Oreochromis niloticus: one gene and its partner. The main gene of each other region encodes a partner of the protein of the gene in region 2 in a complex. Links are inferred from orthologs where the notes say so. Each region holds a gene or a part of one and is shown on either strand. Other genes may lie near its edges.

What was found. The genes of interacting proteins can lie anywhere in the genome.
Region 1: snrpf (region 2) and gemin5 share a complex: the UniProt entries of both Homo sapiens proteins name them as parts of the SMN-Sm complex. The link is inferred for Oreochromis niloticus from reciprocal best matches to the Homo sapiens genes SNRPF and GEMIN5.

What each region holds. Positions count from the first base shown.
Region 1 is NC_031975.2:29,177,652-29,185,161, forward strand, and holds the start of gemin5 (gem-associated protein 5), read right to left. Parts: upstream 3,020-7,510; 5' UTR 2,885-3,019; coding exon 2,743-2,884; intron 948-2,742; coding exon 793-947; intron 96-792; coding exon 1-95. Other genes in the region: mrpl22 (large ribosomal subunit protein uL22m), read left to right, coding at 3,267-3,291, 3,394-3,436, 6,586-6,721, 6,802-6,867, 7,333-7,410. UniProt on the Homo sapiens protein: The SMN complex catalyzes the assembly of small nuclear ribonucleoproteins (snRNPs), the building blocks of the spliceosome, and thereby plays an important role in the splicing of cellular pre-mRNAs.
Region 2 is NC_031981.2:17,184,185-17,191,835, forward strand, and holds the start of snrpf (small nuclear ribonucleoprotein F), read right to left. Parts: upstream 3,017-7,651; 5' UTR 2,864-3,016; coding exon 2,861-2,863; intron 2,246-2,860; coding exon 2,120-2,245; intron 397-2,119; coding exon 332-396; intron 186-331; coding exon 119-185; 3' UTR 1-118. UniProt on the Homo sapiens protein: Plays a role in pre-mRNA splicing as a core component of the spliceosomal U1, U2, U4 and U5 small nuclear ribonucleoproteins (snRNPs), the building blocks of the spliceosome.

The DNA of each region.
Region 1 (7,510 bases), on a different chromosome or scaffold from region 2:
GTGTGGTACCAGTGACAGACCACCACGCCTTTCTCATCCCCGGACACCACCAGGTTTTTATCCACAGGGGACCAGTGCAGCGCTGATACGGAGCTCTGTGCACACAAAGACAAGGAGTGAGTGCATGTCACAACTTCTTCTTAGTCAGGTGGGTGCTGACGGGCAGTGAGCTGTTTCCAAAGACATTTATAGCAAATACTAAACACCAGATATTATTATCTAAATGTAAAACCCTTTGTTAACATTTTGGCATGATGAATCAATATACTAATGTTTTTTTATGCGTTTCAAGATTTTTCAAATAAATATCCTTTCTTGGTTTAAACATCTTCCCAATGATATTTAACCAACATGTCATTACATGCCGTTTATTATTCAGATTAATCCACAGACAAAATACTGCTTTAAGGCATCTGCTCAAGCAAATAATGGAAAATAAATATGCAATGCCCTCAGTAACCTTGACAACTGTTTTAAAAATGCCCTCGAGAGAGAATCACAGAGCTGCTGCAGACGATGTTTTTGCTGCGCATCCCACTGAGTCCTGTCGAGCTCTGATGCTTAACTTTCTATCTCCAGACCTGGTCAGGGGTCCAGTCTCATCAAGGAGACTGGACCATTTCAAATAAATGTGAAAAAAAAAACAAACAATGTGAGACAGCACAACGCACATACAAGCTGCTTCCAAGTTCCCTCTGCTGCTGGTGTAGAGCACACAACATCCTGTAGGGGGCGCAAGCACAACACAAAACCCCTTTCTGTGTTAGTGGACCGGCAGAACAGGACACTCACCTGATGAGCTGCGTGATCCCTAATAAGAGTCTTGCTGCTCGAGTCCCAGAAACGGATACTGCCATCGCTAGAGGAGCTGACACAGATGTGACTCTGCCCTGCATGCTGGCAAAACGAAAAGCCGGACACCAAGTCCTTATGGCCCACGAGCTCACCTGAAAAACACACAGAAAAGGACACTGATTTCACTGCGACTGGAGGATTAATCGGTTTAATTTCAATCATGATTTTAGCTTCCAACAGTTATAAACCCAAGATAAACTGGAGAAAATATAATAATAATAATAATGACTTTTTTTTTGCTTTCAGCTTCTAACTTAATCTATAATAGTAAATCATGAGGTTTTAGTAGATACAAACTTTTCATTATAAATTTATAAAATACTGTAAACAGCTACTAAAGCTCTGAACTTAATGCCCTCTGTGCCCCCTTTAGACTCACCCCTGCATGCTAAAAGTATCACTGCTAGAAAGAGAGCACAGATTTGTGCCAGATTTAAAGTGCCAATCTAAATAAACAGTCCATCTGCATACACATGCCTTTATTTTTGGCTTCTTCTTAATTTAGTTGTGCTGGCACTTTCTTAAATCAGTGGTGAGTGGGGAAAGTGGAAAAGATTTATTTTTTTCACATTTAAGTGATCCAAACAGATGGTTTGATGAAGGACTTTTATTGGTATTTCAATAAGAAAATAAAATCTACAATATGTCTATTTTACCCTCTTTAGTGAGGGCTTTGTGGTGAAAAACAGCCACTATTCTGAGCCTGCCTGACCACCCTGTGTCCTTCAACATCCTGCACACCCTCATTTAACGACAACAAAAGGTGAGGAAACAATGAGACAAACCCAAAACAGGAGTGGTTTTACAAGTCGAGGCCAATTATATTTTTCCCGCTTCATCTTTTTTGACTGCTTTTTTGGTTTTTTTTACTAGCATTGCATTTGGCTAGCGTCAGTGTCAGTACCAGTAGAAAATAGTGGACCCTATAGAACATGGACAAGTAGTCCAACTTCTCCAGGATGGCACATCACTAAGTTTCACTGCCAGAAGGTTTGTAGTGTCTCCCAGCACAGTCTCAAGAACATGGAGGAGATTCTAGGACACACAAAGATACTGTAGGAGAGCTGGACACTGCCAATGTCCTCTACAGGGCCTTCTACTTAATGGACCCTGACTGGCATTTGCCAGAGAATCGCAGAATCAGGAAATCCACCACTGGTGCTCTATGGTCTTCACAGATGAGCACATGTGACAGACATAAAAGGGTCTGGAGAAGCTGTGGAGAACGTTATGCTGCCAGTAACATCATTCAACATGACGAATGTGGTGGCGGGCCAGTGATGGTCTCGGGAGGCCTATCCCTGTAGGCACGCACAGACCTCTCCAGGTTAGGTAACGGCATGACAACGCCCGGCCTCTTGTGATAAGAGTATGCAGGCAGTTCCTGGAGAATGAAGAAACGACACTGACTGGCCCGCACCTAAATCCAATAAAACACATCTGGGCCATTATGTTTTCTTCAACCTGATGCTACCTGGGTGTACAGACTAGCACCAGGACAAGCTCCTGGTACAGATCATGGAAAAGATCCCAAAGGATATCCATCGTCTCATTAGGAGCATGCCCTGACATTCTCAGAAATTAATACAAGCACATGAGGGCCATACAAACTACCACAATGGATTAGCCTGCCACTGCATTTTTTCACATTGACTTTTGGGGTGTTTTTGGTAAGTTCATCATTTTTATTTCCATCGAATGTTGTAAAATCCTTTCACTGGTCACTGCAGCTCATCACAGCCCGAGATCCTCTAATCTCTCCGATTTGGTCAGGCAGATAAGTTGTACCTGAGTTTAACGCGCTGTTTCTGGCTGCAGGGACTTGAACATGAATGGCACGGTCAAGCCTGTGCTATGTGTGGTGTCCAGCGGTGACCGCTCACTTACCTGCCACTCTGCACGAAGATGCAGACACATCTATCAAGTAGATGATGTTTTTGGCCCCGACGCCCAGCAAACCGCTGCTGCTGACATCACTGCAGCGCGAGCAGTACCAGTTGGGAGAGGCGGGAAGCGACCGTTCCCGCATGACGACCTGGATACTTTAAAAATAGTTTTTTTTTCTTTAATTAAGTCCTAGAAACCTAATCCAAACTTCTCACATGTTACCTGCACTATCGTAGCTACAACACTTATGGCCGTACACACAGCATGGTGTCGTAAATCCTACCGGTGCCTGGTACGGAAGCCTAGCTGGGACAATCTAAAATCCGAGGTTGTTGGGTTAAAAGCAATAATTTCCGACATTTATTTTGAACAAAAACAAAAGCTATATATTAATTTCCCTTTTAATACGATGTTTAAATGACGATAAATAACTAAAGTAAAGGAATTACATGCGTTGTGAAAACGCAATAGACTAATATTGACACTGCCATAAAGCGAAGGTATAAATGTCGTAAAAAACCAACATGGCGGCTGCAATGACAGGACGTGGTGAGAGCAATGCAGATATATTAGCCAATAGTTAACAGTTTCGTTGTATTTATAATAAACCTCGTCTACAGTTTAAGTAAAGCGATCTCTTCTTCTTTTCAGGTATCTCTTTTATTAGGAGTGTACCTTCGGTGTTACTCTCACGGTAAGTGCATCAATACTAGTGGCAGGTTAGCTTTACCGCTAACGCTCTCTGCAGGACAAATCCAGCTCAGATCGGCTGTTTATGTTACCTACCTACTCCTGCATCATTAGAGTGGGAATTCCGGGTATCATTTGAAGACAGTGTAGGAGGTTATCTTAATTTTACAGCCGCTATTTCTTCAAGTTTAGGTAACCAAGAAACTCAGCATAGTTAGTCTTGGGGGGAAAAAGAAGGCTACTGGACTTCTTTAGGTTTGTAAAGACGTTTCACCTCTCATCCAAGATGTTGCTTCAGTTTATTTAAAAAAGAAAGAAAAATGGTGATGTATAGTCCCGCTTATTTAATTTTCTAGTTGGGGTTATATCCTTTGAAGGTAGTCCTGAGGGTCGTTGATCCACTTTTGATCACCCATCATGAGACCATGACTATCATGTGAACACTGCCATCACTGAAAAAGTGACCTTTATGCTTTTGGTGCACATGTACAGTTGAGTTTTGTCCTGTTGTGAACCGACTGTTGGGTTTCTCCTGTGTGCAGATCTGAGCACTCCTTGCTGAACTGCATGCACTATGTGGCTTAGCTTGTGTGACAGTTTTGTCCTTGAGCTAAACCAGTTTTTGTCTCAGAGAAAGTCACGGATATTTTCTACAAATAGGACATCCCGGTGCACTTCAGAACCAGCAACACCCTTACCCAGTCAACTGTAACTGCATTTTATTGCACGCTAATGTGTAACAGGGTCATTAAACTGAAATGTCTGATTTATAGGATATGGAAAACAAAAATCTTAATAACCTTTAAACCTTTATTTAGCTTATTGAATTTATGTGTTCACAAAAATGTCAGCTTAATGATTTGTAAAACATTTTGCTGACTTTCTGTCACAGGTGTTACCTTACTCCTTTGGTATTTTATTAAATAATTTATTTCCTTAATTGCTATAGCACATATAGTGATCACATTATTATTATTGTTATTATTAAACACTTTTTACTTTTTCTTCATATGTTGTTTGTTTAATTTAAGACTAAAAGAAAATTAAATACATGAGAGGTAAAACTTGAGGGGGTAGGGACAAATAAGTAGATACTTCTGCCTACTCCTTTTCAAACAAATAATGGAATGATATTTTGTAATGATTGTGAAGGGACATGTTTGAAATAAAATGAACTGAACTGAACTAGTAGTATTATTAGTGTTACTTCTCAGCCGTAAAGGCAGCGTGGACACACAAGTTTGTGAATGCAATAAGTTGAGAACAAAGTCACGTAGGATTCTAAAATTGATACGATAAGTGTAACTATTCAAAATCTCAAAAGTTATAATGTCAGTGACCTTCGTCTCAAGGTCAAGTTTTCTCAAAATCGCATGAATGTGATATATCAAGAGCAAGGTGATGTAGGATTTTGAAATTCATACCATACCATACTATTATTATTATCAGTAACAATAATAATAATAATAATAATGCAACAAATAAGGATCTTTTATTATGATTCATTATGACGTATTATTTTCAGTCAGGTTTGGTGTAATTGTGATTGTATGATATTTGTGCAACAATTTATTTGCTTAACAGTTAAAATATTTGTTGGAAATTTGATGGATGTAAAATTATTAACAAGCTGAATATGGCAAACACACACACACACAACAACACCATCGAGTTCAGCTAAAACCTTCATATGAAGTTATGAAAGAACAGAGAAGAATTCCGATGAATGAAGAGACTCTGGTCTTCCCACGAGCAATTCCTTATAGAATTTAAGGAAATTCTTACACTGTAACACCAGTGACACAACTCCAGGGGAACGTTACTTTCTTTTGATATTTTCTAATATTTTATATTTCGTGTTGTTTATTGTATATTTGATAGTCATAGATAAATTATTGCATTTTTTGGATTGCATAGTGGTAAAAAACCCCAACATGGTTCAGCTTCAGGGTTAAAGCACCTCCTCAATTTCTTCTGTCCTGGCAGCAGCATCTCATCAATGGAAGTTTGGAGGACAGACTTTTAGGGTGGCTGGGATCTGGTGAGATCCTATTGGCTCAGATCTGCAGCATTTGATGTATATGTCCCGTCGGGTGCACCTCCCTATCTGGGGAATGATGCACTCTGTTGAGGTTTTTCCTGGGTGGAAGTTTGAAGTTCTTTAATCATCTGAGTTGGTAGAAGCATTGATGGGCTTTCTTTACCAGTGGGGTGTCTAGGATGATGTAAGGATCAAGGTATTTGAAGTTATTCCAGTTATCCACCAGGGCTCCTTTAATGCTTAGAGGGTGGAAACTTTTCTGCTGTTTCATGTTAATGTCCACTATCATCTCATTGGTCTTACAGGCATTAATCTTGAGGTTGTTCTCCTTACAGCAGTCAACAGGTGGTTAATCTCATCCTGGCAGTCAGATTTGTCATTCTTTGACATCAGATCTGCGCATATTTTAGAGAGTCCAGAGTGGCAGCCAGGGAGGAAGCGATGAAAGTTATGATCAGTTTTTCAGCACCTTTCATGATCACAGACGTCAGTGCTATGGGGCGAAAGTCATTTAAGCAGCTGGGCTGGGGTTTCTTAGGAACAGGGACTATTATTGTCTTTCTGAAGCATGTCAGAATAATGCACTTAGACGGGGAGAGGTTAAAAAATTACTGTGAAGGCTAATAAACTGCAGGCTATTTTAAAAAACAAACAAAAAAACCCCAACATTCTTAAGCCTCCCATGACTGTCTGACTGGGATTTGATCTGAGTGAAGTTGAGTGCAGTTACCAAAGGGAAGGAAAGGGGGGGGGAGAAAAGTAAATAGCATACATAAGTTTAATAAAAGAAAACCCCAAAGCACCAAAGATCCATCTCTTACTGGCTCAATAGTGGAAACAATATTAACAACACCAGAAACTCTTTATTACAAAGCATCACTCTCTAGTTCCTCCAGGGGGAGTAACTGATAAGTGGAGTGTTCCTTCCCCCTCTCCTATCCTCCTCATCTCTCTTCCTGGGGAGAACGATGTCAGGACTACCCTGCTTGGCCTGCTGCCACAATGACTTGACTTTAAATAAGTGGAAAATAACAGATGGACAGATGTGGTGTACACCTGCCTCACACTACTGGACTGAACCCACCTCAGAAACATTTTCTCCATGTTCCCAGGTTACAGATTCTAGGTGGTGGCTCCCAGCAGCTCTCATGTCTCCACACCAGCGCATCCCTGGAATCTAAAACTTGGGAGAGGAGGAACCTGAAAGTGTATCCGCCTCAGCTGCCTGATGAGCCTCGCAGACCAGCAGTGAGTCTTCCTGCCAGTGTATGATGCTGAGTGAAAAGATGTCCTGAACAGGAGCTGATAGAAGTGTTTTCTTCCCACAGGAGATTCACCACAGTAGGAGGCAGATTAAGTACAGCAAAGACAAAATGTGGTATTTGGCCAAAATGGTAAGACGTACTATATATTCAAATCATTCAACAGCTCCATCCTGCTCTGTAGTGTACAGGCATAAGTAATGAAGTGAACTGAGAGTTAGCATCACATTTTAAAAAGTTGTCATCTGATCAGAAATGCTCAAGGAACTATTTCAGCTTCTTTATTTAAAACACTGTAAAAAAAAAAATAATCACTTTTGTGTAATGATCATCATATATTCAGTATGTTCTTCATACTTCACATTAGTCCTAGACAATCAGATTCTTTTAAATATGTTCCTATCTCAAAACGCTAGACTGTGTATGTGCACACATTCCACTGTGTTTGTGGCACATCTGCTCATAGACTCGCTTTGGTTTGTAGGCTTAAGCTCAGTGCCGGAGTTAAAAAGCAGTCCAGCATCCTGCTGTCCTAACAGCTGTGCAGAAACTTTTATTTGATTATTTGGTCCACATATTTTTTAATTTTTTTTCCAGATCAGAGGGATGAGCATCGATGAGGCCATTGCACAGCTGGAGTTTAATGACAAGAAAGGAGCAAAAATCATGAAAGAGGTTTGGAGCTGCCTGTTCACCCTTTTAACTGGTTGTTACCGTTTGTTTGTGTGCGCACAATCCCAGAGTGAAGATTAATCTAACAGGAATTTGATTTAAG
Region 2 (7,651 bases):
TAAAACTGGTCTCACATACAGTAGGAAAAAAAAAAAAAAGATTCAAAGCTGCTTGAAAAATAACCCCAACCCTCATTTGTTTCACACGGTGAAAACACAAACACACATCAGCCCAGCATCACTCTCGCATCTCGCCGTCCTCTTCCTCCTCTTCTACACCTCTGATGTACAAAACATTATTGCACCTGTGGAGGTCGAGCACAGCATGAGAAAGCGTTTCCTTCCACCAGTCACTTAATTATTAACACAAGTTAGTCAAGTCTGACGACTTCAAACTGTTCGGACTCCCGCTGATTTCTCTCTGCGGCGTTACAAAGTGTCATTCACATACCTGATGAGAACCTCACCGAGATGTCCGGCCAACGCTCCATCCACATACTCTTCTGTGTTTGCCAGCTGTCAAAAAAAACATAAATAAAATAAAACAAAGTTCAAAGGTCAGGTAAGATAATTGGTGGAGCAATGAAGCCAAGATCTCCCTCATCCCAACAACCTCCTCCAGCTCATCCAGGGAAACACTGAGGTGTTCCCAGGCCAGCTGACAGATAAAATCTCTCTGGTGCTTCCTGGGTGTCCACCTAGAACACCTCACCCAGAAGGTGACCTCCTCAACTGTCTCCTTTCAGTGTGGAGGTGCAGCGGCTCTACTGTGAGCCTCTAATGAAGAGGCCAGCCATCCTTTGGAGAAAGCTCATTTCTACTGCTTGTATATCAAAATAACTAAAAAGAGCCTTAACAATACGATCAGGCCCAGACTAGCAAAGTTATGGCATTTTTCTACAAAAATCTTGTTGCTGCAGCTCCATCTGGTGGCAGATGGTTGTATAAATATTTAGGACACCAATTCACCATCATTGGACTTTAAATAAAATGTAATTAGATTAAATGACTTGTACATTGAGCACCGACTAGTGACAATAGCAATGATCAGTCGCCACAGTTGCACAAATTCATACTTAAAACATGCGCTAAATAAAAGAATAATAAAAAAAAAAAATGTAATCCTAGTTGCCACAGTGATTTCACCAGGTAAAAACAGAGCCACTTTGGTGATACAGAAAACTCTGACTTTAAGTTTAGCATAGCCTGTGGTGTAATTCTATAAATGTGCAGTTTTTAAGGGTAGAAACTGTTCATACTTCACAAATTATCGAGTATCAGGATGTTTTCCCTGAGGTGGATTATTGATGTTGTCTTAAGTATATTAATATGTGTGCATTTTCATCAGGGTGTATGTTTAGAACTACAAGTGAGGACAGTTTTGAGTTAACACAGGTCCCCTCTTCTGTGACTGTCTAGTCACTGGTGTACCACCCAACACTGGAATGATGCTTCCTTGCAATGATGTCATTTTATCCTTCAACAGGAAAATACTACAGGTTCTTGTGTGACCCCATGAACACATTACTCGAGTTTTAATAATAATAATAATAATAATGATAATAATAATGATAAAGATAATAACAATAATGTATACTTTATTCCCCCGTGGGGAAATTACTTTCTCTGCATTTAACTCATTCACTCAGTGAAGCAGTGGGCAGCCACTAATCAGGCACCCGGGGAGCAGTGTGTAGGGACGGTACTTTGCCCAGGGGTACCTCAGGGTAGCTGTTCAGTGGATTCAAACCCCCCGACCTTCCGCTCATGGGGCGACCACGCTACCTACTGAGCTATCCCTGTCCACAAAAGAGTTTTCTGTTGTTGCTGGGTAATGCAGGGGAACTGTGTGCTGACGGCTTGGAGGAGTTCTGTGTTGCATTAAGCAACAGTAAAAACAACCTTCTAAGAGAAGAGCTGTGTATGCTGCTTCAAACACAGTGAAAGAAGCAGGGGAGGCAAAGGTAACACATTACTCTGGGCTAACAGTTGTTTTTACTTGGATATGGAATAACACAAAGTTTAGAAAAATAAATCCAAGTCACCTTTCATGCTACAGCAGCTGCATTAATGGCAAACTAAATGCGCTTGTCAATGTTAAAAATCACATTAGCTAAAAACTGCTTTTATTTTGAAATCGAGTCTCAGTTTCTCTTACCATAATATCTAGTCTATAAACAATGCAAAATTTGACCGTAGAACAAATTTTAGGTAATTGAACAAGGCAAATGATCCATACCTGCATATTCATGTACCCGTCCACAGACACGAGGTAGCCCTTATATTCCATGCCCCACTTCAGCTTCACCATCACTGGTTTTCCAGTCAGGCCGTTCAGGAAGGGCTTCGGGTTCAGAGGTAAACTCTGGAGAAGCAGACCAATCAGAGATAAATACACACACATTAAATTCAGACCCAATGAAACAAACAGCTACGGTTTAGCATCGTAATACCCGTACATGTCAAATCAAAACCATATGCAGTGACTTATTCTGGTCTGTGATCCTATAGTAGGTATCAGGTCTCTAAAAAGAGCTCTTGCACATTTCCTTTCAGTTTGCACAATCTTTCAAAGACAAAGACGATTAAAAAATAAACCGTAAATTTTATGATGATCAAGTTATTATAAGTATTTAGCTTCAAAATGTTTGTGTGGCAGTTAAATTAGACGTTTTCTGAATGAAGTTTGGTGCGACACTCTCTACGGATTCAAGCAGGAAGAAAAGCGCCAATAAACAAACAGCAAATAAACGGGAAGCATTGAAACCAGCCGAATTATGTTTCCGTAGATAAACATAAAATGCGAGGCTGCTTTCCGTGTGAGGATTCATTCATTCACTATAAAGTTATGAATGAGATACTAGCTTCGCCTATGCTAACCAGCTAACAGGCTAGTCGCTATTCCCGCGCCCTTCTGAGTAAAAAATCCCCCCAAAACATCCGGTGAAGCTAAAAGGTAGTGTTTCCGAGCTTTACTCACCATTTTAGCTCAAATTAAATAAGCACTGTGCGTTTTAAGGTATACGTTTGATATCCTTTCGTCACAATAACGTTGCACTTCACAGCAGCACACGCTTTACCGCCGACCGGAAGTCCTGCACTTTGCTTCCTGAGGAGTCTGCGTGTTTTTACACACCGCTACCTAGCGGTCAGGGGTTCACACCACACCCAAACCGCATTGTTCATTTATTTATTTTACTGCTTATTATGAGCAGAACAGAAACCGTTAAGACCATGAGAGACATGAGAGAAACAAGCTGGGGTCAACCATCAAAGCAAGGGACAGCGCACAAGAAAGGAGAAAAAGAGGGTGGAGGAGGGATGGAGCGGGTGGAGACAATGTCAGGAGTGATTTGTGACAGGATAGCAACCATTTATAATCTTCAATACGATCAGTTGCAGGCAGGTGGCGCAAAGAACATACTAAATAAGGAATATGTACAGATGTGGTCAGAAGTTTCCAATAATTTGGGGGTTTTAATTACTTCTTTAAACTTTAGTTTTTCTAGAGTGGGATGATTGTACAGTATACATCTTTAATGACTTTAAAAATAATTGGGTGCGCAAGTTTGAATTTATTTTGGATTTTCAAAAGTATACATACTGTCTCAAATGTATAAATTAACTTAAATCTTTTAATAAGTGGTTCTGATTCAGAATAATAGGAAAGTCCAAGGAACCCAGTAAAGATCTAAGAAAGATTATTGTAGATTTACACAATTTACAAAGGTTTTCGGAGCCATTTGTAAACAACTGCAAATTCAAAGATCATCAGTTTGCATGCATCATTTGGATGTGTCAACACTTTGAGGTCTTGAAGAAGACCCCAACTGTCATTCTCAGATGAGAGGAAATTGGTTGGGACATTCAGGAACAACCCAGGAACCATTAAGGCTCAAGCCTGCCATGAACTAGAAACTTCTGGAACACCTATGTCTCTGTCCACAGTGAAGCCAGTTTTACATAGCTATCAACCAAGAAAGAAGTCCCCCCTCCAAAAAGACACCTTCAAGCTTGAATGAAATTTGCAGCTGTCCACACAGACAAGACAAATGCCTTCTGAAGCCAGTTTTATGGTCACATGAGACAAAGATCAAGCTAATTGTCCACAATGACAAGAGGAATGTTTGGAGGAGTGAAGGTCAGGCTATCAAACCTAAGAACCCTGTACCAGCTGTCAGGCATGGCGGTGGTAGCATCATGCTCTATCTGGGGCTGTTTTGCTGCCAGTGTTCTGGGACATTGTAATTTAGCATGAATACCTCAATAAACTTCAACTTAGCTCAAATTAACAGCTAAATGACTGAAAATTGAACATAACTCAGCGTTCCAACATGACAATGATCCCAAATACACATCAAAATGACAACTAAAGTTATTTTGCCTCATGATAATATACTTAAAAGTTAAATTGTAATCTGATTACTGTTCAAAGCAAATACACTGTAAAATCTAATTAGTTCCCAGTACTCAAAAAAATTATGGAAACTCGTTGCCTCAAAAAAATTGAGTAAAGCTTAGCTAAAAATGACTAAGTTAGGTCAACTTATTTACTTTGAGTACTCTGTACAAGCTCATTTGTTCCCAGAACTCAAAAAAATTGGATCAAGTTTACATAAGATGACCAAGTTAGGGCAACTTACTCATTTTGAGTACACTGTACAGCCTTGTTAGTTCCCAGAACTCAAAAAAATTATGGAAACTCGTTGCCTCAAAAAAACTAAGTAAAGCTTACTTAAGATGACTGTTAGGACAACTTATACATTGCAAGTCTGCAGTATTAACAATAACTTGATATTTCTGACTGTACAATACTAATTGTTTACCTACTGACAAAAATGTTAAGCTCAACTAAATGAAAAAACAATTTGTGGTAACATGAATATGATTAAAAATAATTAACAACAATTTTTGTAATGATGTTAAAATGAGCCCAACTTTTATTTTCAAACACAAAGTACAACAGCCAACATACTGGACACTGTTCTGCTGAACAACAAACAATTATATTGCCATCACTGTTATAATCTTACAATGAAACAAAGTCTCAGATGTAATTATTCTGAAAATAAGTTTAGGCCTACCACAGTTTGTTTTGTACTTACATTACTTATATAATCAGAATAAAATATTTATCGTTCTGTCACAAGTGCAGTCTCTAATTTAAACAACACATTTGTTTTGCATTCCAACACATGAGCTGGAATGTTGTATTATTTTAAGGATGGCTTGTTTCCAGTCCAGGCATTACTGCCTGAATGACTGTCATGGATCGAGGTGATCCAAATGTAGGTGCAGAAGAAAGTCTTTAACTTCCCTTAAGTACACTGGCAGTGGATGTGGGTTGGAGATGCAATGAGCTTGAACCTGCAGGCGACCATCTTCACTGACCACACCATCTGTGACGGAGGACTCATCTCTCCTGGTGTCCTGCAAGCAAATAGTCATATTTTTTGGAACATGAACTTAATTGCTTTCTTAAAACATTTTTTTCTGCATTTGGTATAGAACAGACTCCAATTTAGACGATCTCAGGCTCCCTCCCCACCGGAGAGGTGACATTCAATGTCCCAATTGTCAGTCTGCATAGTGACCACCACCCAGCATACAATAATGTCATGAAAGCATCATTTTAAAAAGGGCTATGCAAACATGGCCAATAACTTTCATTCTAATGATGTGCAAAATGATTTTGGGCACAAAACAAATTTTGCTGTTAGAAAACTTGCAGACTTCACTATATACAGTGTAGACCCTCTAAACTAAGTTTGGGGGATGTGATCTTTCAAGAAATGCAGACTAAACTGTTGTTGTTTGTTTACTTACACAGCATGTCTTGTAGAATTAACTGGAGTCACCAGCAACAGCATAGTGCAGTCATATCTCAAGTCTAATAACAGAAGACAGGAAAAGATCAGTAAAGAAACAACTTCCCCAAACCAAAGCACAAATAAAACAATAAGTAAAACAGGCTGATCTAAAGTATGATTAAAGTTCAGCCTGATTAATATAAATGTCACTGACAGTTGCTAATATATTGGAAAACCAAAATACTTACCACTGAGTTGATGTCTTTCTGTCCAACAGCAGGAGTGCTGGTCCCGATCGGCCTCAAAGACAGTAAGAAGCAAGCAGAGGGAGAAAAAACAGAACATTTTTCAGAAACTGATTTGATCCTTAATGGCTGTGCAATCATTGTAACATAGAGTTTGCTTATGTTGTTAAATAAAGGCTAGATTTGACATTAATAGATGCCACAGATGTTCTAAAGCTGCCACAAAGCATGAAAAAAAAATAGACGTCTCCGAAAACGTCGGAGCATTTTTGCAAATATGTGATGTCTTGATAAATCGAGCGGATATTTGAGCTTTACACAGCTACATTCTCGCCTGAAAATATCTTAAAAGTTTATTTTGTGACCCAGAAAAAGTAATAAGTTTTTCAGCGGCGCTCCTCCGCCATTGCCGCGCTTACAAGTACGCACAGGCTCCGACAACCGTGGCCGACAAATGCGATCCTCCTTTTCCCCAGACTACCCTTTCTGGGTCACAAAATAACCTTTTAAGATATTTTCAGGCGAGAATGTAGCTGTGTAATGCTCAAATATCTACTTAATTTATCAAAATATCACATATTTGCAAAAGTGCTTCCACGTTTTCGGAGAGCTCTGTTATCCACCCCCCACATCCCACACCTACCCCACCCCTAACGGCTGCACCTCCCGAAGAATTTTGTCTGGGCTCTTATCTCACTTATTTATTTCAAACAATCAACAGAAAATTTCACCACATAGTTTTATGTAAGGTTTTTAAGGCTGTGGTGTTAATTTTTAAGTAACATGAGCCCAGCGGCAGCAGCAACGCTAGGCTAACACTAACTAGCTAGCAAGATTTTAAACCTGGTGCTAAACTAAGAGAAGCCACAAATCAGTTTGAATAAGAGTAAACATTTACTCACCAAGTCAGTGTATCAGGTAAAGATCCACAGCAATGACAACAATAATATCTTGAGCTGACGCTTCTCCAGGTTTGCTCAACATATTCCATAAAAAATGCACCGTGAACATGCGGACTGATCCGAGAGGGAGGAGGACTGTAGTCACGTGGCATTTTCAAAACACATCTTTCATCCTTCCGCACTGAGAAGCAAAACTTCCAGCTTACTTAGTTTTTCTAAGTTAAGACAACTCAAATAAATTGAGTTTATCAGCGTTTTTGCATAAAAAGTACTGGTAACTTATTTAAATTGAGTTCTAATAACAAATTGATAAAAACTGAGTTCAGCCTATTTAATATTTTTAATTAAACACAATATTACATTTTACAGTGTAAAAGCATCACTGTCGGTGCCTCCACCTGCCCTCAGCTGGACTGAAGGCAGATGGAAAATGACATATCCTGTAGGTGCAACACCTGCTCTACTTATGTCACTTTGACATGCCCCTCACCCACAAACTGCTCACTAGTTGAACCCTGTGGCCTCTTTGGGGGCAAAAAGTTAAATATCTGTAATAACCAAGTCGGCCGGTTGTAAGTCTGAGCAGCAATTTCACTCCAGGCACAAACAGTCTGACGCGCTCACATTTTTTCTGCGCTGAAGCGTTGAACCGTTTCTGAAGTATCTGACAAGTTCAAACCTGATGCGATGAATGAAACTAACACCTGACTTCCTGCTGTTAGAGGCTGCGATTGTCCAGAAATTCCTCTGACATTGCAGCAGAGCTTTATTTGCATATTTGAAATGCTCGTGTCCTTACATCATTTTAGCTCAT